Linked DNA regions of Caenorhabditis elegans. The protein of the gene in region 3 interacts with the protein of the main gene of each other region in a pairwise test. Each region holds a gene or a part of one and is shown on either strand. Other genes may lie near its edges. The genes, in order: nhl-2, tmem-131, cgh-1 and mex-1.

Region 1 (7,577 bases), 2.6 Mb from region 3:
ATCTTCCTTTTTCTCAATTTCTTGACTCAACTTCTTCTTCATATTCTCCCGAACAACTCGGCTTCTCAAACCATCCGATCGGATGAAGACCACTTGTTTCTCACCGAACATTAATCCTGAAAATACGTAATTCATGTTAATTTTTATTTTAAATTTAAAATCTCACTCATTTTCCTTGCTGGTTCTTCTACTTCCACTCGTGCCAAATGACTAATTGATTGAGGTCGTCGAGCTGATTCTTCAGATTCTTCATTTTGAGTAGACATTTTCAGTTAAATCCAGCTGTAAATTTCAGTTTTATCTAGACAAAAAAGCGAGAAAATCAAATTTGAAAAAGCAGCGAAGCATGATTTAATTATAAAAGTCTTGATATCTATGTACCTTTATCGTTTTCTCGTCATTCGACCATAATAATTATTGATCATTGTTCAATATCTCTGCGTATCTTTTCTCTTCATTGATTCACATCTTCGATATATTCACGCGCACATCTAACGCACAGCAAACACGAAAAACACGAAAAATACTTTTTTTTTTGATTAACACTTTATTTTCATCAAAGTTAAAATTTTGAAAAAGATGGTAATTATAATAAAATTCTGAGAAATAGCCTTGTAGAAAACATTGAGAATGTGTACTAGAAAGCGCTTTGGATTCGCCACGGAAATGGACTCAATAAAAATGGGGGAAAAATCAAAGTGGTTAGCACAAAAAAGTGAGAATAAGAATTCGCTCCAATAAAAATTTCACAAAAAAGAAGAAAATGATGGTTTTGAGCGGCAAATTTGAAATTTCAGTGGGAAAGGTACGGGGCTTTTATAAAAAATGATGGAAGAGAGTAGATAATTGTGTCTATAATCATCACGAAACAGGATTAAAGATGAGGTTCGATTCGATAGATGAGAATAAAAAGAAATGTACAAAACGAATAAAAACGATTTCAAAAATGGGAATATGAAGAAATTGAGTAACGAAATGTGCTTTTAGAAGAGCTTTTTGTGGTACCTACTGGGATATATAAGAAACATTTGAAAGCGACGGGACTAGGGGGGAGAATTACACTGTATGTATAGGAAAAAGTTAAGCGATCTCAATTGAAAAATGCACTAGAATTTCAATGAAGAGCGTTTAACTCAACGTATAGAGTATATATGACTGACCTCTAGAATCGCTAGAAATGAGGAAACATAGAAAAAAAAGCCGGGAATTTGGGGGAAATTGAGCATTTTCGTAAAATAGTATAAAAATCTGATAAAATTTGGCTGAATGCGAGAATATTTGGAGAAAGAAAAGAAATGGTTGCTGCACAGGGACGCTTTTTAGAATAGAATTTGGGACAACGATGACGAGGTTTTGTTGTAGTTCAAAATATAAACTTTATAGTTTCAGAGTTTTTTAAAAGTTGATCTCCCGTTTGAAAACGCTGAAATTATAACAAGGATAACAATATACGAGAAAAATGAACGGAAGTGAGTAAGAGTGTGTAGGGAGCCCTATATTTTTTTTGGAATTTTTTGATTTTTTTTGGGCGAGCTGAAATTCAAATTTCACTTAAAATAGATACAAAACGATGCAGTCCTAAGATGAGGCTTATAAGAAAGAAAAAACAAGAACATTTTTGAAACGGAAAGGCGGGGGCGGGTTGAAAAGTTGACAGGGGTAAATTTGAAAAAAAAAACGCTAACGGTATTTACATTTTAACGAATAAAATGGTATAAACTGGATAAATGGGAAATAAGAAGAAAAAACTTAAAATCTTTGGAAAGAATTTGAGCAAAATAAAAAAGAGACGTTTTTGTATTAAAAAGCTTGAGGGAGAGGAGGGGTGGCAAATGAGGTCTCAAAACGAAAGAATTAAGAGATATGGGGAGGGGAAAGAAACTTAGGAACTTAAAATAATGGAACAACACCGGGGACAACAAAAAGGCGGATAAGCAAAGGGAGAAGGAAAAAAAAGAAGACGGCTAGAAATGAGAAAAAAGAAATGTACAAGAAAAAAAGCTTATATAGGAATTGGGGTAACCTCCTCACTGAAACTTGCTGATGAGCGAAGTTGCATGAGGAACTGGAGTTGGAACAGGAAGTCCATTTGGAAGAATCAATGGTTTGAAGACGAATAGAGTGTGGTTATGCTTACACAACGTCACAATGTGACCACTTTTAGCGATTCGGAGACCAACGCACCGAGAAAGCTGAAAATACAAATTGTTCAATATAACTGCACTTTCTAAATAATTTTCAAGATACTTACTCTAAACTCGTTGTGAGTAAATGAATGAATATGTTGTCCTTCGGGTGAGAATACAACAACGTGCAGATGATTTCCATGAGTATCAGCTACAAGAACCTCTCCTGCCTTCGAGACGTCTATTCCAATTGGATATGGGGTCTGTGATGGTTCTCCCATTTTTCGGATGAATTTTCCTGAAAATATTACACTTTTTTTTAATCCAGAAAATTATTACGGTACCTTCAGAAGTGTAAACTTGGACACAATGATGCTTGAAATCCGTTATATAAATCAGGTTATCAAACATGGCAACATCAGAAGCTTCTCCGAGTTGAGTGGAAGCATCGAACCAGAATGTGACTCGTGGTGCATCTACATCAATAGAATACACAAATCCAGCAGTATCAACAAGTAAAAGTTGTCCATTCGGGGTTGCGGCAGCAGCGGATACTTCTATTCCGCCACGTGGAACCAAAGCCATCATGTTGAGACGTTTGACGAATTCACCACGAGCTTCGAAGATCTGAGCACGAGTTTTCCCGTCACCGCCTTTATCGAGTACCACATAACGGACAGCTTCTCCTCTCAGTGCAATCACTTTTCTTGGGAAGCACAATTGTCCGTCATCCGTTCCTGGACGTCCAATCTTCCATGGATGAGGTGGACCACATACGACAACTCGATGATTATTGGTATCAGCAATCAGAATATCATCAGTGTCAGACAAACAGAATCCAGATGGACAATGCAACTCTCGAATAGTGCTTCCTTGTTGAGATGTTCCGAACACACTGTGCACCTTCAGATCGCTGACTCGTTGTGCGTTCGCTGAATTCTGCGATTGACCGACATCCGAAGCAGTAGTGGTTACAGCCGAATTTGCGGCAGCAGTAGCTGCTAGTGCTGCAGCTGCAGCTGATGTGAGTTGAGGATTCAAACTCAAATTTCCCATTGCATTCATCGCCAAAAACTCTTGAATTGTTTGATTGGTGCGCAGGTTGTTCTGAAAATAAATATTAAGCATGTGTTGTGACTGCATAATATGAATAATGAATAGTATTTAGGAATGTTTCAAAAATAGAGCTTACCATTGACATTATTTGTGGATTCAATCGATGGCTGGCAAGTGCTTGTAGTTGAGCCGCTGCTAACTTCTGCTGCATATAGGCGGCTGAAGCATTAGTTGACAGACCAGTAGTTGTTGGTGTAGCCACTGCTGGAAGCCCTTGACGAGCATTCCACATCGCTGGGAAAATAGACTCTGGCAATGGAGTTTGTGATCCATTTGTTGATCCATTCGTAAGTGCTGCCAAATCCATGTGATTTGCAGCCAAGGCAACCAGATCAGGACGCATACCAGCAGCCGCAGCAGCCATCGCAGCTGCATTAGGAAGATTCGAAAGTTGCTGTTGAGAAACAATTGGAGCAGCTGTCTGAGTCGGAGCTCCAGTTATCATAGTTTGAGGTCCAGTAACAGGTGGGGGAGTTGTCGATTCTGGTGGATGACTGCTTGGTGGCCATCCGCCGAATGCATTGCTGTCTCCACGAGTACCATTGGTTCCATTCTGTGTGTTCTTCTTACGTTCTCCACCAATTGCACCGAGTTGTGGATTTTGTGAATAAACAGGGCGTCCCCATTCTGAAAGAATCAATATTAATAATCAATTTATAGAGAAAATAATCAATTTACCATCTTGTTGTGATGGATTAGCTGCTGAGCTAGATCTTCCACCTCCTGGTTGAGAACCTCCTCTTTCACTTCTATCAGTTGATGCTGCAGTTGCATTTCCAACGTCTTTAACAGTTGGCTGAATCACTCGTCCGATAACTGTTCCAGTTAGTTGATGCACAAAATGATCAATTTGTTTTTTCGATGGAGTATAAAACTCAAGTTCCACTTGGTGTCCATGAGATGGAATAGCATGAGACAAGTTTCCAAATTGTTGAATAACTTTTTTCCTCGAAACAACCAACTCGAGACCATTTCCTTTGGTAAGAAGTCGGCGAGTGAAGTTGATGGCATCATGTACTCGTGCTTCGTTAACTTGTGATTTACGGTACATTTCATCAATGTTAGACTCTTGACGGATTCGCGCCTCTTCGAGATCGTTCACGCTTTTTTGATAGGCCTCCTGAAATTTTAATATATTTTTCCCTTTAACTCCAAAACATTTAAATTTTGATGCCCTACCTCAATAGAATTGCGTAACTCCTCATAATGTTTATCAACTCGATACTTCGCAATCTCATACTGTTCATTCAACTGTTGAGACTTGTCTGGAAGGCTATTCATATCAGCCACAGAATTGTTATATTTCTTTTCGACACGATCCACAGTACTTGTCACATCTTCCCTTATAGCATTGATCACAAGCTCGTTGATATCAATGATTTTATGATTCAAATGATCAACTTCCAGGCATTGCTTACAAGCCGCTGTTTCACATGCTGCACACAAATATCTCATATGCTGATTATGAGTGGAGCACATGACTTGACGAAGTTCTGGATGGGCTCCAGGCTGCCGAAGATCAGCAAATGTGGTTACAGTGTGACCTTGGAAAAGGTTCATGACAGTATGAGCAGTTGTGCAGTTTTCGCATAAATCTGAAGAGCATTGATCACAGAATGCGATGGCTTCTTGTTCGGATTTGCAGGCAGTACATGGTTTGCGATGGTGGGCAACCATTTTCTCAACTTCAACTTCCTTCATTTCGGCAAGACGAACCTGGAAATATTATATTGAAAACATTGAATCCAAGTTTAGTAATGTTTTTGGTAGATCAAAAGACCAAAATACTATGTTTCAGAAAAAAATTCAACTTACAAAATCCAGGAGCATGGCATGAACATATCGAACATCATTTCCAACATGCGATTCTTGTGAACAAATTGGACATCGGATTACGCCAGGAGGTGTTGGTCGTTCTTTAACTTTCGGTGTTTCCAATTCACAATCCAACATTGCTGCAGTCGCTCGTTTCTTCTCTTCAATGGCAGCTGACTTTGCTTGAAGGTGTCCATCAAGTTGAGCAATAATACAATCTTCGCACATTGAATGAAGACAATCAAGAACTCGCGGTTTACGGAAATCTTGTTGACAGTATGGACATGAAGCATGATCATCTTCTGGTAGTGGTTCTGTGCCAAATAGAGGTGATGATGACGTTGATCTGAAACTATTTGGATTATTTATTTATCAGGAAAAATTAGTGTTTAAAGATGTAATATACTAACAATGGCCTAAAAAAGACCGACTTTCATAACCAAATTCATCAAAAAAAAAATTCAAAATTTGTAGTTGCAGTTCAAGAAATTTCAGAAAAATTGTTTTATTTTGGCTGAAAATTTGATTTTGCCAATTAAAAGATTTAAAAAACAATAAATAATCGATACGGAAAAAACAAAATTAGAGGTTTTAGTTGAAATTAAGAATTTTAATGTTTTTTTTTAACTTATGTAATTCATGATAGCTTACCTCAGTGGATCTTGTCCATTCAAACTGGGCGTTCCACTATTTTGTGTGTTATTTGTGGACGTAGCGGGCGATTCATGCCTACCATTCACCGCCGAAGTCGGCCGATCTGCCGCTTTTTTCATCTTCACGGAATGAACGTTCGACACTTTTCAATCTTCTTATCCGGGTGCTTTTTGTTATTAACAAGCACACAAATACAGAATAAGAGAATATTAAAGTATCAGGGACACTCTTGGAGTGTAAACTGAAATGAAAAATGATTATAAGAAGTTAATTGGGTTTAAGAGTAGTAAGAAATTCGAGTTTCACAGAAAATACATTCAAAAGAATAATAAAAAAATCAAGGAAGGCGTCTAAAGTTTCGGAAAATCAGTGAACTATTCGAACTCTAATAAGAATTACAACAAAAACGAACACCTAAATACAAAAAAAAACAAAATATTTGTTGGTTTGAACAACACAACGTTCAGTTTCAGCGTTTCTTTCAATGTCATAAGACTTATTCCACCTGACCAGAAAATTGTTAGGTTCTACAAAAAAAGAATCACGCGCAGACGAATAAGATACAGAAAAAATGAAACGGAAGAAGAGATAATCAAGAAAAAACAAAGTACTTATGGCATTCAATGTTCTAAATATTCTGCAATGCAATACTAAACAAAAAGCGAGCGCAGGGAATGTTTAAATGCAAGTGTTGTAAACGAAAATTGTTGATTTTAACAGAAAATTTTTAATTTTTAAATAAAAAATGAAGAATTTAAAAAAATTCAAAAGTTTTAAAACAAAATAATGCACTTTGGATGCCATTTTCTTCAGAATTTCACGATAAAACATTGAAATTTATTAGAAAAGCAGAAAGCTGAAATCAAATTCTACCTGTTACTGAAAAATCAATTTGCAAAATTCGAAAAAATGACGTCATTTCGACGAAAAAGAGCAATTACTAGCGCACTTTTGCACGAGACGCGTGCAGACAGTGGCGAGAGAGTATGCAGAATGAAGAGAGTAGTCATAGACTGGGACACCGCTTTCTGTATCGTCTCACACGCATGACACACACTTTCGCGGCCGCTACGCAGAGAAACCGCCTACTTGGCATCGTGCCAGCTGCACTTTCACCACCTCGAGGGTATTTGTTGGCTGAATGCCAAGTGGGCGGAGTGAGGGGCGTGAGGAAAACTGCAAAAGTGCGGCAGGGAAATTCGACGATTTTTTCGGAAGCGGTTGGTGGATGACCATTCGCATGATCATTCAGATGACAAACACTCTATTGGAAATTTTTTTCCGAATTTACATAAAAAAGAATTTAAAATCTTTTTACAATAGTAACGTATCAAGTTAAAAACTTTATCAGACGCTAATTAGGCTTCATAGGAATTTTGTTTACTTTTTTCGCATTTTAGCCAACGAAATCGATACGAGCAGGTTTTTGAAAGGCGCTTCCACTAATAAAGAGTTGCAATTTGACTAAATTAATATTTATTTAAATATATTTTACCAGTTCAACAGAAATAAATACTCAAAAGGGAACAATTTTTTAATAAAAAGCAAGGATTTATTCAAAAAGAATTTGTCCAAGAGGAGTTCTGAAATTCACAGTACCAATTTCGTTGCGGGACCTTTTCAATGGAAAAAGCTATGCTCCTTTAAAATTTCACAGGTACTGTAAAGTTTTAAAGAAATTGTTTTCCTTTTTCGATGAGATTCTATTTTTTGACGCCTTATCAGTTTGACCTCTTTCTTGATATCAGTTGTCTCATTCGTGCATCAATATTCAAAATTGCCTCACCAACTACTTCTTACCTTACTTTTTCAGCTCCAGAGGATACTGAAAAGTGATTTTCATTTGATTACCCTTACTTAAGTTTT
Region 2 (7,966 bases), 2.5 Mb from region 3:
CTTGACTTGGACTTCTCTGTCTTTTCATTTGCTGATTGAAATTATCAATATCATCATCTTTGAATATATCCTTAGATGCGGCAGACATCGATGAGAAATCCATTTCTGCATCATCGACATTGACATCCTGTAATATTTCTTAATAAGTAAAGATATTCAATTCTAATTTTAATTACCTCATCAATCCAATCTGGTGCAGCTTCACCTCCAATACTTTCTTCGTCTCCTCCTAAATGTCCGCTAGTTCCCCAGGTCATTCCAATATCCGAAGGTGTTGTAACTGTAGTTCCTTCCGAATCATTAGTTATTGGAGCAACTCCAGAAGCTTGTCGAATAAGATCTTCCATCTGTTCCGCACTCAACGGCCCTCCATAATTCCACAGATTCATAAACGGCATTGCAGCTTGAGCCGCTGGTGTATCCCACATTCCTGCGTCCATTGGCATGCCCATTGATGACAAGAATTGACGATAGAAGAGATCAGGTGAAGTTAAAGAAGTTGGTGGGACGTGAACAAAGTCGTCTGTTGGAGCTGACGTCGGAGCAATTGGAGCTGGAGAGCTAGCGGGATGCTGAGCTCGATTAGACTGGGATGGTGTTTTGCTTGGCGTTCTTGCTTTCGAAGGAGTTGGCTGCTTTGGCCGTTCAACTGGTATTGCATTGGGCTTCTTCTGTTCAGATGGCTTGATGGGTTTCTCTGGTTCTGTTGGCGGAGGAATTGAAGTTTTCGGAGTAACGGGAGTCTTTGTGACTGGTGGTACCTGCACATGTTTCTTTCGCTGATTGTTTCCTTTTGGTTTTGGTGATGGTCCCGGAGTGGTTTTCTTCGCTGGTTCCATTTTATTTTGAACCGGCGGGCTTTGAACAACTGGTTGTACAATAATAGGTGCTTCCAAATTATTATTTTCTTTCTGTTGCGCAGCTCGTTTCTTCTTTCTTTGACTTTTCGACATTGGTGGCTCAGGGTCTGTCACAACCGAAGATTGAGCCCCAGAATCCTTTCTCTGTGCCCACATCTCTGCAAGCTCTTCTTCTTCAACTTCATCAAATTCTGGAGCAAGTTCTCCAGAGTTTTGTTGTCGCTTCTGCTGCCCAACATATTCAAGCATTTGACGGAACTCTTCAACCTTCTGCATTGTCACTGGATTCTTCTTTTTCGTTACTTTTGCCGATTTTGATTGTTTATCATCCGCTTTTTCTCTCCTCCAGAACAAAGACCATTTCCAGAATAAATGAACGCATTTCACAATGAAGTTGGCCAAACCGATAAGTAATCGAGAAATGAGCCAAGCATCGGATGAAGCTCGAAGCGTTGAAGGTCTAGTCGCCGGGGTTGGCTTCTTTATAGAACTTTCGGGCTTAGCTGTAGAAGGTACTGTAGGAACAGGTGTAGTTGTAGAATTGTTCTTATTCAAATTGTTGAGATCAAATACGTGGCGAGGAATGGCAAATTGTTGTCTGATGGCAACGGCAATAGCACGATCACCTTCCAGATAGGCGCATGCAAGAACACAAACAAGACAGAATCTGAAAATAATTATTTTAGTTTTCATAAAGTTTTGTTTAAACTTACATCAGTGCTGTTACACAGCTATAATACATGATATTCTCAAAAGGTGGTCGAGGGAGTGCCTGATGACATTTGGCAAGCATATCACCGGGTACTGTAGATGCCAATGGGAATATCCAAGCACTACCGTTCATGTGCATATAAAGTTGTAAATCTGCTTCATTGGTTGTTGTAAGGAAGTCTGGTGTGTAACTGAAATTTAAAAAAAATACAATTTATGTTTATTTTGTAATTATATTTTTCTAACTCACGCAATATCTAAAGCATATGTCTCATTTGGTTGTAGACGGAACGGGTAACAATTGAGAATTCGAAAACCTCGATTCTCGCAAGGAACACCGTTAATACTCATATTGGTTACGGTAAATTGAACTTCTCCACTATTCATCACTTGGAACGGGCGGCGAACAGTCAGAGTTGAGTGCAATTTGTGCATTAATCCTGTAAAATTTTGCATTTATATTTTTCAATGAAATTTCGAATCACATACTTTTAGGGTTATTGCAATCTGTCAAATGATCGTGCCGAATTTCGAATAATAACGGCTTTTTGGATCGAGCTTCGGCTCCTTCAACTTTAACTCCAATTCGAGCACCTTTTCCATACATTACAACTGGCTCAATCGCTGTCAAATTGTTACGAATCAAGAGAAGAGATGATCGGAGTGTGTAGTCTGATGGCAGGAAACCAAGGCGAAGTCGAATTTTCATATGTGGTTTTAGGATCATTGATAACGTGAACCTGAAATTAATTGATAAATTGAATTAATTTTAAAACAACTAACCTAGGAATATTAATTTCATTATTATATCTTGGCATCTCATGATTTAAATGATATTCAAATGCTTCTCTGAGCTTCGGAACAGGTGAATCTGACTTCAAAGTGAACAATTCAGTGTCTCGCAACGAAAACATCAATGTTTCGTTCATTTCAACATGATCTGTCAGTTCGGATACCAAATTTGGACGCATCAGTTCGACGAGAGACTCTGCATCCGGGTAGATAACCAATGGAATTACTTGAATTGCAACTGGCACATTTGTTGGATTGGCTAGTGTTAGATTCACGATGGTGAAGTTTCCAAGAGCTGTTAGAGGGAAATGAATGGAATTTCTTGTGAGAAGTCGTGGCCACACCAATTCAGCAGATGTTTTGATCTTGATATTCTTTGCTTTATCAGTATCCAAAATTATTGTAGTGTTGATATGATGTTTTCCACTATTCACCAATGCATCATATTTCTTTCTCAACTGTTTGTACAGATAAGAATCAATTTCTGGCAAATTAGATGGTAGTGTGAGACCATGCGTAAACCACGCTCCATCGGAACTTCCTAATGGGAGACCCAGATAACAGTAATCATGTTCACATGGAGCTGATGGAGAGAACATGACACGTCCAAGATTAGTGAGTCGTCCTGAACGAAGCACAGGTGGATTCTTGGGATCGAATCCTTCGAAAAAGAATCGTGGATCTTCATTGAGAGTTGTCAGACGGGTTACGGTCATATCTTCGTCGAATGAGTTGAATACCTAAACAATTTCAGAAATTGAAGCAACTATTAGGATCTTCCTACCTGTAGTGTTCGATAAACCAATTTCGACGGGAACGTCTGTCCGAAGCATATTTCTTCCGGTATCGACTGTAGTGATCCAGTTGATACTTGATAAGTAACTCCAAATATTTTACTCTCTAAATCAGTTTCGAAAATGATATTTCCGTTTCGAACAACTCCATCCGATGGAACTTTCAGCTCCAAATCAAAGATTTTTCCTTTCATTGGTGGAATATCAACATCGGTGGCTTCAACGTATTCAAGACGTTCATCATTTCGAACATCAGAAAAGTTTCCGATCGACTTGACACCAACTTCGTAGAGTCGGTAAGCCGAACGATGTGGTACAGCAAGATTTTTGAGACGCATCTCAGCTCGATTGTGATTCCAAACCACGAACTGAAATTATAAATTGAAATGTTATAACTTTATTTTAATTTTTTCTTACTCGAATTGTCCTTGTGTCATTCCTTTCAACAAAACCGAAATCAAATGAATTTTTATCCACAGATATCAACTCAACGTTCATTCTTCCTGTATAGGTTGATAGGCTTAAATTAAAAGTGGAAACATTTGTGTGTAGATAAATTGTAGAGTTATCGAATGTTGGTGGTAGTTTCTTATTGTATTTCAGAACAAAGACTGGTGAAATGTGGCCGGAACGGATGAGGGCAGTGCGATCAATGAGTCGAACCTGAAAGAAGAGAAAATAATAACTAGGATAATTCAGTTTTGAGAATTTGAACTTTAAAAATTTCCCAAAAAAAAATTATGAGAACTTACAGAAAAGTGGGAGACCAATTCTGGAGCCAATGTAATATTGAAAATAGCCACATCGAATGGCAACTGATTTTCAATTCGAATAATTCTTTGATGAGGTGGTCTCAAATCTTCTTGAATCGATAAATCATTTCCAATCGGGAGAAGGTCTCCACGAAATACATCGGCTCGATACGGAATGCTAACATTATAGTTTCCACCTCTAGAAACTGCAATAATGTGCCCACTAATATGTTTCATCTGTTGTTGAGGTGACATTTGTACTCGATTTCCTTCTAGATATACTTTTACAAGATCTGCTTTTGGTCCCAATGTGACGCTTCCCTTTGTTGGTGGATATACTATAATTGGTGGATGTGAAGCAAATTCCATATAAATTGCTGTATGATCTCCTTTCTCTACGTATAGAGTCTCGAATTCCAACCTTCCTCCAATTTGATATTGAACCACAGAAAATACTTTGGCCTCTGATTTCATCCCTTGTCGAATAAGTCCAAAATCCAAAATTTCATCTGTTGCATACACTCCGCGACGTTTCAGAACTTCAATTGGTACGGTTAAATAGATATCCGTATTCGGTTTGCGATGCTCAGAGCTCAAATAAATTTCAGATCCAATTCGAACAAATACTGTCGAATTTTCAGAAGTTGCTCCAACTAGGACCAGCGTAGCGATTTGTTTGGATTGATATGGACGAATATCCCAATATTGTAGTGGTTCTTCAGCCAATTTACTGTCAACTTCATGAGGAAGTTCTATGTGAGCATTTCCTCCAGATGTTCCGATCTATAAATTTTGTTAAATTAAACTAATTTAGAAGTAAATAATTATTAAATTCAATTATATAGGCGAAATAATTGAAGATTTTCGAAAATTGGTCATTTGAAAGTTTTGAAATGTTACAAAAATGAAAATGTATCTATTTTTCTCACAAAAACTAGTATTTTTTCGATTCAAAACTATTTTAAATACAAAATTTTTTTTTTATATTTATTTAAACAACGTCCTTTGAATGTATTTTTATCATCTCCGTGAAATTTTTCATTTAAAAAACAAACCTCGGTAATTCTCATTGTATACGCGTACGGATTGAAAATAACAATTGGCTTTGAAATAGATGAATTCATCGGAAGACGATAACCAGTAAATGGTGATATACGATATGGATTTGAATCACAATTTCCCTGCATTTTGTATGTGAATACTCCAACAGAAGTGTAAAAATGAACAATTGTCGATCGTTTTCCAATTTCTCGTGGTAGGAAGACCACTTCCAATGATGTAACACCATGTGGCTCAAGCTTCTGAAATTATCAAGAAATAATTGATTTTTGAGTAGAGAAAACTCACATATTGCTCAAAATATGAAGCTTGAAATTCAATAGAGTTGACAACAACTGCATCGAGGAATATCTGTTCATTTCTCATATTTCGAATGTAGATTTTGCGTTTCTGCGCGGTACCGACAGAACTGAAAAAAAATGCATACTTGGAAGGTTTTTTAAATTAATCAAAATTTTTGTTATCATACTTAAAATGGCCCCAAAATGTCGAATTTCATAACGAGACATTCCAAAAATTGCATTTTTTCAAAGTCTCGTTATGAAGTTCGATCTTTTGAGTATAATTAAAAATTATTCACTTTTGCCCAAAATCCATCATTGGTGGATCCATCTCCATTGGAAGTTTCCCTTTTCCAGACAATTTCAACACGTTGAATGTTTTCGTCGCATGGTTCTTGTTGGCTTCTTTCGGACAATTTCCTTCACAAACTCCTTTAATTGAATCATAAACTGGCAATTGATGCACATTTTCGGGTCGAATAGGATGATTGAGATAGTGAAGCTCTTCACCGATTTGAACAAATGCGGTATGAAGAACTGGAATCTCGTGAAGCTGGGATGCGGACACTTCTTCTGGAAGAGGCCATGCCTGAAATTGATTTTTTAATGTGAATTTCTGAGGCTAAACCATACCTGCTGATCTGCAAAAGTTGAAGTGATTAAAAGAGAAATTAGGAAGAAATATATCGTCCGATATCTGTTTGAAGTTTTGTGTATTGATGGAACCATTTGAGCATTTGGTAAATTGAGAGTTTCTCTGAAAAAACGAATAAATTTTTTTCTATAGGTTTTCTGAGTAAGATAATTAAAAAGCACAATAAAACGGAAATCAGTTTTTATTGCTTATTTTTTGCTTATTTGCTTATGCAACATGGATGATACGTGGAATTGAACGGCACTAAGAGATTTCTCCAGGGAAATAAAAAAGTGAGAGACAACGGCAAAGGCGACGTCGACTTCAATTGGGAAGGATAACTGGGAGAAGAGATAGTGTTTGATTTGGAGAGACCCAGTATTCGGCATCTTGGGAAGAAGAAGATACAGTCGTCGTGAGACGCAGAACAAATAGGATCGATCGATTTTTGAGGGAAAATAGAGATGTTGAACACGTCATCACACCATTATAAGAGAAAGAAGAACGAAGAAATCTGGTTTGGAAAAGTGAAGAGAGAAAAAAGAAAAAGGGCTTTTTTCGGTGAAAAATGAGTGGAATCAAGTGAATAAAACAAAGACAAAGTGATAACCATCTGTCATCTAGGTCAAGGCAGTCAGGAAAAAAGTCTATAGCTGTCAACCGCAGGCTAGTTTTATTACCTCGGGTATGAATATTAATGAAGCATTAAAATATTGAGCGCTTGGATTTACATAGAATTTAGAAAATCAGAAAACAGTCTTTATTTAGCAGAACAATTGTGGAAATTATGGACACATTTTTTTTGTAATCAGAAAATGATTTTCTTCGGCTATTGTTGTTAACAAACACGCGAAAAATAGAATATTTGACAGAGTATACTATAAATATCAAAAATATGTCTTAAATAATTCCGAATATGCAAATTTCTGCGCGAAAACGTTCAAAACTGACGATTAAAAACCAGAAAAACTACAGAAACAAATTACAGTTATTTCAGCCGTGTGGAGAATCCTCGGCCACGGCCACCAGAACAATATCTCCTGACTGCAGTGACTGGTTTTCCGATGTTTACACTGCTGGAAGTTACTTCATTGTTCTTTTGCAAACAATTTCGCTTGGAAAATATTGATTTAATTTAACTTGAACGTAAATTGACTTTTAAATTGATTAATGAGTAGTTTTATAGAGGGTTTTGGTTACTGTAGCTTTAAAGGCGCATGCTTGAAAAGTTTTAATGAAGGAAACTCTTCCATAATTTGCAAACATTTTCACTTTTGTTTTTTAAGCCGTTTTCTGCTGAATTCGTCTTTTTATTATGAAATTAAAATTGTATTAATTTCAGAAATGATTTCATTCGAGGATTTTCTCCTCCGACCATCCAAAGTCGTCGATCCATTCAACAGATTCGTCGCAAAAATTGATCCATTTCTGACTCTTGTCGAATTTTGCCAAGTTATCGGACCAAAACCACTAGCGGTAGTTTCTCAGCGGCCAGATGATAAAAGTAAATATTTATACACAATTTTCTCGAATAAATGCTAATTTTCAGTCCGCGGAGTTGACATAAACGATATGGCAATCTGGTTGATGTCGTCTGATACTGTTCCGGGTACAATGATTGTGTTGGAAAACAATCAAACGGGTGTATATGCGGCCGCATATTATTTTAATTTGTACGACATGAGAGCAAGAGCTTTTCAAAGAAATTTATGCATCGCCTATTTATGTTCGGAGAAGCCAACAAAAGAAACTTTGAACCTATTCTCATCAGCTATGAAAAAATTAGTTTCACCAGTTTTGATTTGCAATCGACGTCTGTTTATTCGCCATGTCACTGATATTGTCAAGTTTTCGGACAGTGTTGGTAAGTTTTTTTTCTTCGATTTTTTAAACAAATTGTTACCATTTTCAGATGAAACCACCCTGAAACAGTACTATACACTGAATGGAGATTCACAAAAGTTGTCAGACGGAAGCAGATTCAATGTAGTTTTCGAGCAAACCAGGCTTCTAAAAAGCAAATTTTTGACGAAAAGATTTCAAGAAATGGCTTTTGATGGTGAACAAAACGTTGAGACTTTGA
Region 3 (4,957 bases):
ATACTCATATTGCGGGGAAATTTCCCGGGAAATAATTTAAAATGTTAGATTTTTCCCAGTAAATGGACCAGGCACTGACAATGCGTCAGCAATTATGATGAAACGCGCCAGCAACCACTTTGGCGTGTTTTCGGATCTCGGCGCGACTTTTAAGTAAGGAAACATTTTATTTTTGAAAAAAGAAAGAACAAAATAATAACGTAATTAATTTCAATTCATGAGTTACACGCAATTTCATATTATTATTAACATTTAACGTTCAAATCATATAATTCATAAATAAAATAACAAACCATTTTTAAATAATTTGCATATAAGAATTATGAGTCTATCTCCTCCGCCGTTATTCAATCTCGATCAAGTTTGTTATCTGTAATGTTTCTGCCTTTATAAATAATTTTAAGGGATCTTGGAGTCCTATTGCTATAAACATGATTTGCCTAGAAGCTTTACAAACTTGGTACCAATCGGTTTATCTTGGATCTGCTTATTTCTGTAAGAAAATAAAAAGTGGAAAAATATAACAACTAAAATTGCAGATATGAAGACAGAGTCGTTCGTGTATCTGTCACTTGTTTACATTCAATTTTCGTTATTTTTTCTAACAAGCATTTTGATAGTTATATATTTTATATCATACAATGGAGTCCAACGTCTCAATGTTATTACGATTACCACAAATGTAACGTTTCTTTTGACTCCTGTTTTCAATTAAGATTTTCAGTTTATAAAAATGGTGGTGGATGTGTCCTGTTTCGGAACAATTTATTTTGTTGGCAGCTCGAAAATATTGCCTATTGTGGATTTGGCGTATTTCAATTGTGTTATCCAACCGTGTCGGTTTCTTATATTCATCGTATACTGCCATCACGGAGCTAGATGTGACGCATATCACAGATTTCTGGTTGAATATGAGGAGTTCGAATTAGAAAAATGAGGAAATCGAAAAACGATAAAGTAATCACATTACTCATTACATTTAGAACTAATTATCCTTTAATAAATTTTCATCGACGCTGGTATATTCTTTTTAATATTTAATTCATTATTATTCTCAAGAAATTTCGCATCAAATCTTCGTAAAGTTTTTCATTGAAATCTAATTTTGAATTACCGCCATTTTGTTTCGCGCGTTGGCTGAGTATTCAACTTTTGTGTGTTGAATGTACGCAGCGAAATGCCTCTCACTCGTCGCTCGCAGCAGCTTGGCCTACTCGTCCCGTCGCTCTCACAGTTTTTCTCTCCACACTCTCGTTTCTTCGCACATTTCCTTCATTTTGGCCGTTGTTCTCCACGTGTTTCTGTGTTTCTTCTCTAGATTTCTAAGAGTTTTAGGCGACGATGGCAGCTCCAATCTGTTATCGACACTTTCTTGATAGATTCAGTCGTTTTCCGAAGATTTTTATCAGTTTCGTAGCTCAGAAACCTGTTTTAAAAAACGATAACAAAAAGTGTTCTTTCAAACTTTCGAATGTAAAATATAAACTTTTTCGCGTTTATTGTTTGGAGAGTCGCTTAAAAACTGGAAGGTATCAATAAAAAATTGTCGTGATTCTCTGACCTTTTGAAATTGTTTCTTGTCAATTGCCACGTCGTCAAACATCGGCTACCCTGTTGGCTAGATACTCCAGCAACCCAAAGAGTGTCTGTGCGTCTCTATGCGCCGCCGACCACTCGCTTGCTTTTTCTAACCGTCATTGATCGTGTGTATACGAGCGCGAGACAGACACCGGTTGTCTCGCATAAATATTATCTCAGTGTTATTTAGCGTTCCTCCTAATTGTTCTGAAAATGCTTGAATGATTTTTCCATGACTAACAAAATTGTAGTAAACTCGATAGGTATCATTTTTTCGCATTAAAAACTTATCTTCCTTCATTAACAACTTCTCAACTTACACCATTAACAACTTCTCAACTTTAATCTCGATTTTACAGATCTCATCAGGAAATCAAACCTACTACGACATCGGAAAATGAGTGGAGCGGAGCAACAACAGATCGTTCCTGCCAACAATGGCGACGAAAACTGGAAGGCTGGTCTCAATCTTCCAGCAAAAGACAGAAGATTCAAAACTGCTGTGAGTTTGCAAAGCCTATATGACTTTGTGACCATTTCATTTTTCAGGATGTCACTGATACGAAGGGAGTCGAGTTTGAGGATTTCTGCCTTGGACGCGATCTTCTCATGGGGATTTTTGAGAAAGGATGGGAAAAACCGAGTCCTATTCAAGAAGCATCCATCGGAGTCGCTCTCACTGGTCAAGATATTCTCGCAAGAGCTAAGAACGGAACAGGAAAAACCGGAGCTTATTGTATCCCTGTTATCGAGAAGATCCAGCCAGCCCTCAAAGCTATTCAAGCCATGGTCATTGTCCCAACTCGTGAATTGGCTCTCCAAACTTCACAGATCTGCGTGGAGCTCTCCAAACACATTCAGCTCAAAGTTATGGTCACTACCGGAGGAACTGATCTCCGTGATGATATCATGCGTCTAAACGGAACGGTTCACTTGGTCATCGCCACCCCAGGAAGAATTCTCGATCTTATGGAGAAAGGAGTCGCCAAAATGGAACATTGTAAAACACTTGTTCTTGACGAGGCTGACAAACTTCTTAGTCAAGACTTCCAGGTAAAAAAATTAACATTTGAATAAGATAACAATTCTCGTTTACAGGGAATTCTCGACCGCCTCATCAACTTCCTCCCAAAGGAGCGTCAAGTTATGCTTTATTCTGCCACTTTCCCTAACACCGTCACTTCGTTCATGCAGAAGCACATGCACAAGCCGTATGAGATCAACCTCATGGAGGAGCTTACTCTTCTTGGTGTCACCCAATACTATGCCTTTGTTCAAGAGAAGCAAAAGGTCCACTGTTTGAATACGTTGTTCCGAAAACTTCAAATCAACCAGTCGATCATCTTCTGTAACTCTACTCAACGTGTTGAGCTTCTCGCTAAGAAAATCACGGAAATCGGTTACTCGTGCTACTACATTCATTCCAAGATGGCTCAGAATCACAGAAACCGTGTCTTCCATGACTTCCGTCAAGGAAACTGCAGAAACTTGGTTTGCTCCGATCTTCTCACCCGTGGTAAGTTTGACTAAATAATTTGCGCGATGAGGATTGATAACACATACACACACTCTGAAGTTATGTGAAGAGATAATTGAAGAACGGATATCTGAGCGCCATTTTTCTTATTTTAAAGTGTAGTTCATGCATAATTGTAATTTTTCAGGTATCGATATCCAGGCTGTCAATGTTGTCATCAACTTTGACTTCCCAAGAAACGCCGAGACTTACCTTCACAGAATCGGTCGCTCTGGACGTTTCGGTCACCTCGGAGTTGCAATCAACCTTATCACCTACGAAGACCGTCACACCCTTCGCCGTATCGAGCAGGAGCTTCGTACTCGCATTGAGCCCATCCCGAAAACGGTTGACCCGAAGCTGTATGTCGCTGACCAGCAGCTCGTCGATGCCGCCGATGAGACCACTGCTTAAACACTAGTTCTCATATCCCCAAACCTCCAAAACACACTGGTCGCCTACGTTTTTTTTTTCCATTCTAGTGATCTCGTCCAGATTGTGTATGTTCTCTATTTTCCTTTAAATGCACAGTTTGTGCTAAATTTAATATTGTTCAAGCATAAGCATCTTTCCTTCCTGTTTTCTCAAATCCCCGCACATTATTTGTATCCCATCCACCTTCCCGGACCCCATCAACCCGTTCCACTTATATGCGGTGTAAAATTCTAATTTTTCTTTTTCATTAGTTTCCCCATACCCTCCAACTTGCAGTCATGGACTGTAACTCATTCAAGTCGTTGTGTTTTACATAGTCATTTAAGTTGGTCTTTATGCTCCCAAAGTAAATTGTTTCGACATTAATGTGTCGTTGCAAAATATATTTGGGAGTGTAAGGACATTGTTCATACACATCGGGTTCTTTTTGACGTGTATCATACTGGGTAGCCGGCTCTGTAGTTATTCTGTTGAGCCGCACCACATTGATCAATCTTGTAATTTCCTATCTCATTTCCCACAATTCTCCCTTCATGCCCCATACCAATGCATCCAAAATTTAAAACCACCATCCTTGCGGTTTTCCCTTGCCCATCTGTAGGGTTTTATTCCGCTCTTGTGCTCATTCCAGTTCAACTTGTCCATCTCCTAATCTGATAGATATTTATTGCAACTATTATCATGTCAAATGGCTCAAAGACTATAATGTCTTGGAAGGCTTCCGGCTGGCCATGTGTCTCGCTTACAGCTCTTCCCCCATCCCCATTCCAAAACCATTTGTTCTCTCCCGCCTCCTCCCTCTTGTTTATTGTATAATTTGTAGAAGTTGACACCAAAAATTTGCACAATTTTTCGATTCACAAAGGATGTGCAAGCTTCCTTCTGGATGATTGCCATCTTTAACAATAAAAGACCGAATCGAAACATCGTCTTCTGTTATTTCTTTTCAGAGTTTCATATGAAGAGGAAAGTAGTGAAAGCCTTGAGAAAAACCGAAAACCCACAAGAGATACATTAAAGCACATTAGCGCATTTCCCGAGTGAAAGACCATGTGAAATGAAAGTAACAAAATGCGACGATTTACTTTCGTTTCTCGTATTCCCTGGCAACAGCAGCGGAAGGCGTTGAATGTGTTGACAGTCAGCCAGCGGCAATGGTTGAGGTCGGTATTCAATTTACTGTTTCTCTCTTGGATGTGTCATCCGGAGAGGTGATTGCCCATCCGTATCGGCACCAGTAATGCGCGCCGCGCACAGTAATATTAGTTGATATTGCGGTGACGGGAGAGGTCGGAACGTCTACATTAATCTATTAGTGTGTATTCGGATTCCGACCGCAATGACTTTGAAAATTCTTTTTAGTTTCATTTTCTCATATGCTTTTCTATATGTATATCCTCGCCTTTTGTAATATTATGCAAATGTTAA
Region 4 (6,148 bases), on a different chromosome or scaffold from region 3:
ACGAGACCCATGATTCGCGGCCGTTTACGCCCCATAATAGTAAAAGATGCAAGCGCGCTCCACCGAATTTTTCGAGGATTCAATAATAACAATCAAATTCCCAATTCCCTCAGAAATGGACCGGGCTAACTTTTGAAATTGCCGCCGAGGAGATGCGTCGGCTCAAGTCCGAGCCAACCGATCGAGAGCGGCTGAAACTCTACGCATTGTACAAACAGGCTCTCCATGGGGACATTCCAAATGAGGATGTGTATCGTAAGGGTCTCGAATGGAAAATAATCCAAAATCTAACATTCTATATTTTTCAGCAGTTCCCGCCGGTGACGAGGTCGGCAGGAAAAAATATGCCGCCTGGAAATCGCAGAAAGGCGCGAATTCGGAGAAATGCCGCGCGGACTACGTGGCAATCGCCGAGGAAATGATCAAAAAATACGGGCGGAACATTGTCCGTTGCAAGTGGAACAGTGAAGTTTGGTCTGTGGATTATTGATTGATTTTGAGTATTTTTTTGTTTTTGAATAAAAATTCAAATCTCTTCATATTTGTTCTTGGCGTTCTGGGTCGGTGGGTATCGTGGCGAGACACCGATAGAGAGAGTGAGATAGACTAGAGAGAGAGATAGAGAAATGGGGAATGTTTGGGGGGAAACGGTAGAGATCACAAAATAACTTTTTACAATCATTATCAAAATAAATATGGCTCAGATTGGCCGGGGGGTGGGACACAAAAATACAAAATATGGACATTTTTTTGGTGGTGTGGGGGGAAAATTATGATATGACATGAAAATTTGGAGGGGATTTTTTGTTCTTGTTGTAAGAGATTTTGGACTGGGACAATTTGTGAGAATTTGGCAGATTTTTAGGTAGGTAGGTAGGGGGTGGACGGAGGAATCCAGATTATCTCGAATAATGATCTTCGTGAGCATCGTCGTCTTCACCGCCCATCGATGATTCCTCTTGGATCATTGTCATTTTCCCGAAAATCTTCTCGTACCACGGCTGTTCTTGGACTGGAGATGATGTGCTGGTGGTCGTGGTGGAAGGGATTTGATGAGCTGGCAGAATCGCCGATGACGTCATATTCAGATGAGAACCGTCGACGAGCAGTGTATCCTCCTCGCGAATCAGTGAAAGATCCTGAAACAAAATTTGTATGGAGGGGGACCAATCAGCGATTCGCACCGCCCATTTTTCAACCAATCAAATGAAATGGGCGGAGTTTATTTGAAGTAGATTTTTCATTGTTCAGGGATTTTTTTGTGGTTTTTTTTGGAAAGAACAGCGAGAATGGGGGATTTTCTCTAAAATTCAAAATGGAACTGCTAAACCAATCAGCGTCCTCGAGCTCCGCCCACTTTTTGTGATTGGTTGAAAAGTGGGCGGAGCGAATCGCTGATTGGTCGCAGTTCTCATTTTGGAAGGAATTTCGCCAAAATTTAAAAAAATCGGGTTTTTAAAAAATAATTTTCATTTTTTTTCGTGGTTTCCCTGAAAAATAGCTAGAACGGGAATTTTGCTTCTTTTTTTAATCCAAAAATAGTATAAATTCATTAAAAACCACAAAAAGGAACTGCAAAACCAATCAGCGTCTTCGAGCACCGCCCACTACATCTGATTGGTTGAAAAGTGGGCGGTGCGAATCGCTGATTGGTCGCAGTTCTCATTTTGAAGGGAATTTCGCCAAAATTGAAAAATCTGGTTTTAAAGTAGAATTTTACATTCTTTGCCGATTTTTTTGGTGGTTTCTCTAAAAAAAGCGAGAATGGGGGTTTTTCTCTAAAAAATTCGGAAAAAAAACTACAAAAAATGAAAAAGATTCGTAAAAAGAGATTTAAATTGATATTTAAACTTTGAAGAGAACTGCCAAACCAATCAGCTCCGCCCACTATATATGATTGGTTGAAAAGTGGGCGGTGTGAATCGCTGATTGGTCGCATTGAAAAATCGCATTTTTTGTGTTTTTTTCATAATTAGAAGCAATTGTTCAGCGGGGATGCCGTACCCTTTTCGGTAGAACCGTCGCCCGTTCCTTCTTGACAACTCCAGTCTGATTACGCTCGACGTGCTCCTCGTTGGCGCGGATCATGGCTCCATAGGTGCGAATGTTCTCCTGAAAATTCTCAAAACTTGACGGTTTTATCCGGGAAAAAGGCGGACTAACTGGTTTTCCGAACATTTTCCCGCTTGCCATAGAAGCTTCATAGTCGGCCTGATCAATGAGAGAGCTCAGTGGACCGGTGGATGGTGGTGCCGGAATATGACGACGTTGATGATGATGATGATGATAATGATGATTGTCAGACCTTTTAGGTCCGTCACCAGTTGCCATTTCAATATTGACAACTTGCATCGATGGATAGACAATCTTCGGAGCTGGTGTCTGCTGCTGCTGCTGCTGCTGCTGCTCACTACCAAGATGCTCGAATTGATGATGAAGCCGGCGGCGAGGAGCACTGTATCCACTATCCGACATATCGTGGAAATTGTTGAATGGTGGCCGACGATAGCGTTGTTGGTACTGCTGCTGCTGCTGATGTTGTCGATGGTGAAGCTCACTCAGATCCTCCACTTGGGATGATGATTCGTCGGGATTGGTGATCTCGTCGTCGCGAGCCGGTGAGATCTCGCCTTCTTGAAGAGCACGGTTGTACTCGCTCAGTGGAAGACCCTGCAAGAATTTTTTTTTAATTAAAAATTAAAAATTCCTATGGAAATCTACTAGATTTTGAATATTTTTCGGGAAAAATTAGGAAATCTGCGCTGAAAATGACTCAAATTTTGATTTTTTCAATTAAAAAATAGCGAGAAAACAGAACATTTGAAAAATTTCACTAAAAAATCAATGGGTTTGGCAGCTCTATTTCTATAAAATGAATAGGAATTTGAAGATTTTTAACGAAAAATCAGAAAAATCCGACTGGAAATGACGAAATTTTTGTCTTTTTTGGTGAAAATAACCTAAAATTTGTGAAAAAAAAAGAATTAATCGCGATTTTCAACGAATTTCAGCTCGAATTTTTATGAAATTTTTAGGAAATGCAAGATTTCCCACAAAACTAGGGGCAAAATTCAGTGAAAATGGCGAAAAATTTGTGGAAAATTGAACTGAACGCGACTTTTAACAGTTTAACGAAAAATCTGAAAGTTACAATGTGTTTCACACAAAACGAGGATTATAAACTGACTTCAGCTCAAAATTTCCATGAAATTACTTAGAATTTGATGATTTTTAACGAAAATTTGAAAATCTAACTGAAAATGACCAAATTTTGATCTTTTTCACTGAAAATAACCAAAATTTGTAAAGATTTCGCAATTTTCAACGAATTTCAGCTCAAAATTTCGACGAAATTAGTAAGAATTTGAAGATTTTAAACAAAAAAACCTAATATAAAAACCTAAGAAAATAATGCTATTTTATTCATTTATGAGAATTCCTGCAATCTCAAATGTTCCAACCTTCTTCAGCTTATGAATAAACTGGCATCGTGGTCCATAGGGACACTGTCCAAAGTTGGAAAACTTGTCGCACAGCTGCGTCTTGTACTTTGGATGCGCCTTGCCACGTGGCTGCGACGGCATCCTCAGCTCGTTCTCGCCGTGAGCAAACCGGCAAGCTTCGCCGTACGGGCAGGAGCCTGAGCGCTTAAAAGCGTCACAAAGTGCCGTCTTGAATGCTTCTTCCTTGCGCTTCTGACGCTGAACCGACTCTCGTTCGTCATCAGTCATAGTCTCCCATTGAGCGGAATGACGGCGATATTGCGATGAGGAAGAGGACCGATGCATGTTGTTGAATGACTGAAAAATATTAGATTTTTATATTTTTTGAATTTAATAATTCAAATTTCTCCTACGTCATCGGACACAGAGATATTCTTGTTGGTGGCTCTGCGATATGGCATGCTTCCAGCCTCAATTGGCTCCTCCAACATTAGCTTATCCATTTCGGGAATCGCGGCCGCCAGCGACGGAATGAGGTTCCTGTGGGGAAGCATCGGGGGAAATCCTAAAATTAATTTTTAATTTTATTCGATTTATCCTTCAGAAGCTAAAGAAAATACCATGTTGATACATATTCTTTTGTGGTTGGAAGCCTAGAAACGTTTGTTGAGCCAACGCGAGAAGAGCCGGGTCGCATGGAGCATTCATGAAGTACGGCGTCTGCTTTTGTTGGTGATGCTCTCCATTTGAAGATTGCATCCTTCTCCTTTCCTGAAATTAATTAATTTGGTGGAAAATCGACGAAAAATCATGTTTTATTGAGGAATTGAGGAACAAAATCGTTAAAAAAAGGTGTAAATTGAATTAAACTGAATTTTTGGGCAAAATCTCCGCAAAAAATGAAGAAAAATGAGCGAAATTCGCGCCATTTACCTCAAAATCCAAAATTTCCCGCTCCACGGGCTACGGTAGTCGTGGTGAGACCCTGCAACAACTTTTGTGGCTGCGTCTTTGAACCGTAACTTTTTGATTCATTTTTATTATTCTTCTTTGTTTTCGGACAGTTTCCTTGTTTATTTGTTCGGTTTTTGATGTCGAAAACTCTAGAAAACAAGAATATAAATTGAAACTCTTCGAGACACAATCTATTTTCAGATTTTTCGCATGTCTGAAAGCTTCTTTCCATTTTTTTTTCGTTTCTTTTCCCCCGTCTATCATGAAAAATTCTCTGAAAAAAAAACTAAATCCGGTTTCCAATCTTTCGAAATTTTTTATTTGCCTAGTTTACACTCAGGAATATTCCTAAGTATAATACCAGGAAACCCCCCGAATACCCAGTCTTTTTCCATTTTCCCAATTTTAATTTTATGTTTTCTGTACTTTTCCTTTCAAAAAGTGCTTCTATTTTTACTATTCAAAGCTGCTCAGCGTGAGCATGCTCATGACTAAGCACGAGAAGCTGAAGCTGAAAAATTAGGGGGATCACTTATTCGGTGGATTTAAAATTTTGAAAATTAAAGTATATATTTTGCTAGTTTAAGCTGTTTGTTTTAAAGCTTTATCTTTAATTTTGAAGTTTTTAATTTTCCTCCCAGTTTTCACCATGAAAAACTAATTTTCTGCTCAAAATCCCCACGAATCACTTTCCATGCTTCGATAATTCCCGTGGTCTCGTCACAAGTGCGCTCTGTCGAACGCGTCGCGGCTCTCGCGGCGCGTGTCTCATCTGGCCATTTCTCCCAGCTGACGGCCCTGTCACGTGCACTTTTTGCCCCTTTTTACACAAAAAATCGCCACTTTTTCAATCTTTTTGTTCTTTTTTTCGTCACCATCACTATCCTCTTTGTCAGAAAATGCGAAACTTTCCATTTTACAGGCGCCCTCACGCGAAAATGGCCGATGCGATTCAAACCGCTCCTAGGTTCACTGGTTGGTTTTTACTCGAAAAAACTGATACAATACTATTTTAATCCAGGGAAAAATCGAGACCCGCAATTATTCACGGTAACCAATCATTACAACGAGGTGAGCTACACATATTTCATTCAAAAAATCGAAAATATTCCATTTCAGGCGGGCACTGGACCGCTCGAAGCTGCCATTTGTAGGCACAATCCGCTGCACGTCGTCTCTGCAGCATTGCGACACCAACATGAAGAATCGCAATGCCCCGATCGGAAGTGGAATCCGTCGGAGAAGATTGTAAAGTACAAGGACATGCAGTAGCTTGTTGGAGGAATTTTATATACTTTTTTTAAAAATTTATTAACCATTTTTCTCATTTTCCCGACATGTATTTTTTTGCTACGGGTCAAATTGTATTTTCGCTTTATGTAATATTTCTAAATAATTTCGTCGTCACAATTTAGTTACTATTTGTTCTTGCGACACAGGTTGAACAATCGCCTGTCTGTATCTTTTTCTTTCTTTTTTTAATCTATAATTCATTTTCTTATCAGTTAATTGATTTTTGCAGCACAACAAAAAGGCTTCCAGTGAACAAAAATGTCGGGAACCAGAAAGAAGGCGCTGCTCAAAGTGATCATTCTCGGAGATTCGGGCGTTGGAAAAACATCTTTGATGAATCAATATGTAAATCGGCGATTTAGTAATCAATATAAGGTTTGTCAATTTTTTTAGAAACTGAAATTTTTGTTTAAACTCAAAATTCTCCCTGAAATATAAACAAATTTCTCCTTCAGGCA

What was found.
Region 1: the proteins of cgh-1 (region 3) and nhl-2 interact in a two-hybrid assay, tested with the Caenorhabditis elegans proteins (one study listed by BioGRID).
Region 2: the proteins of cgh-1 (region 3) and tmem-131 interact in a two-hybrid assay, tested with the Caenorhabditis elegans proteins (2 studies listed by BioGRID).
Region 4: the proteins of cgh-1 (region 3) and mex-1 interact in a two-hybrid assay, tested with the Caenorhabditis elegans proteins (2 studies listed by BioGRID).

What each region holds. Positions count from the first base shown.
Region 1 is NC_003281.10:4,893,128-4,900,704, forward strand, and holds nhl-2 (B box-type domain-containing protein), read right to left. Parts: upstream 5,959-7,577; 5' UTR 5,831-5,958; coding exon 5,709-5,830; intron 5,404-5,708; coding exon 5,058-5,403; intron 4,959-5,057; coding exon 4,422-4,958; intron 4,363-4,421; coding exon 3,921-4,362; intron 3,870-3,920; coding exon 3,319-3,869; intron 3,234-3,318; coding exon 2,471-3,233; intron 2,425-2,470; coding exon 2,252-2,424; intron 2,193-2,251; coding exon 2,028-2,192; 3' UTR 531-2,027; downstream 1-530. Other genes in the region: F26F4.6 (TFIIS-type domain-containing protein), read right to left, coding at 1-116, 167-266.
Region 2 is NC_003281.10:4,992,156-5,000,121, forward strand, and holds the start of tmem-131 (Transmembrane protein 131 homolog), read right to left. Parts: upstream 6,007-7,966; 5' UTR 5,979-6,006; coding exon 5,883-5,978; intron 5,839-5,882; coding exon 5,549-5,838; intron 5,378-5,548; coding exon 5,257-5,377; intron 5,211-5,256; coding exon 4,965-5,210; intron 4,693-4,964; coding exon 3,910-4,692; intron 3,821-3,909; coding exon 3,575-3,820; intron 3,526-3,574; coding exon 3,148-3,525; intron 3,104-3,147; coding exon 2,355-3,103; intron 2,312-2,354; coding exon 2,061-2,311; intron 2,012-2,060; coding exon 1,822-2,011; intron 1,763-1,821; coding exon 1,574-1,762; intron 1,528-1,573; coding exon 177-1,527; intron 128-176; coding exon 1-127. Other genes in the region: Guanine nucleotide exchange protein smcr-8, read left to right, coding at 7,228-7,387, 7,433-7,747, 7,796-7,942. UniProt on the Caenorhabditis elegans protein: Collagen binding transmembrane protein involved in collagen secretion, probably by recruiting the ER-to-Golgi transport complex TRAPPIII. Required for normal development.
Region 3 is NC_003281.10:7,494,813-7,499,769, reverse strand, and holds cgh-1 (ATP-dependent RNA helicase cgh-1), read left to right. Parts: upstream 1-1,937; 5' UTR 1,938-1,975; coding exon 1,976-2,080; intron 2,081-2,127; coding exon 2,128-2,631; intron 2,632-2,676; coding exon 2,677-3,094; intron 3,095-3,115; exon of another isoform or gene 3,116-3,193; intron 3,194-3,242; coding exon 3,243-3,508; 3' UTR 3,509-4,450; downstream 4,451-4,957. Other genes in the region: sap-140 (U2 snRNP-associated SURP motif-containing protein), read right to left, coding at 1-8; C07H6.9 (Serpentine Receptor, class Z), read left to right, coding at 323-361, 405-495, 540-682, 725-937. UniProt on the Caenorhabditis elegans protein: Probable RNA helicase required for oocyte and sperm function. Also required to prevent the physiological germline apoptosis mechanism killing essentially all developing oocytes.
Region 4 is NC_003280.10:11,966,703-11,972,850, reverse strand, and holds mex-1 (C3H1-type domain-containing protein), read right to left. Parts: upstream 4,215-6,148; 5' UTR 4,203-4,214; coding exon 4,064-4,202; intron 4,009-4,063; coding exon 3,857-4,008; intron 3,801-3,856; coding exon 3,462-3,800; intron 2,671-3,461; coding exon 2,164-2,670; intron 2,122-2,163; coding exon 2,005-2,121; intron 1,140-2,004; coding exon 900-1,139; 3' UTR 504-899; downstream 1-503. Other genes in the region: acbp-6 (ACB domain-containing protein), read left to right, coding at 114-255, 309-490; W03C9.5 (PTK2), read left to right, coding at 5,336-5,372, 5,419-5,468, 5,517-5,669; rab-7 (Ras-related protein Rab-7a), read left to right, coding at 5,949-6,065, 6,146-6,148.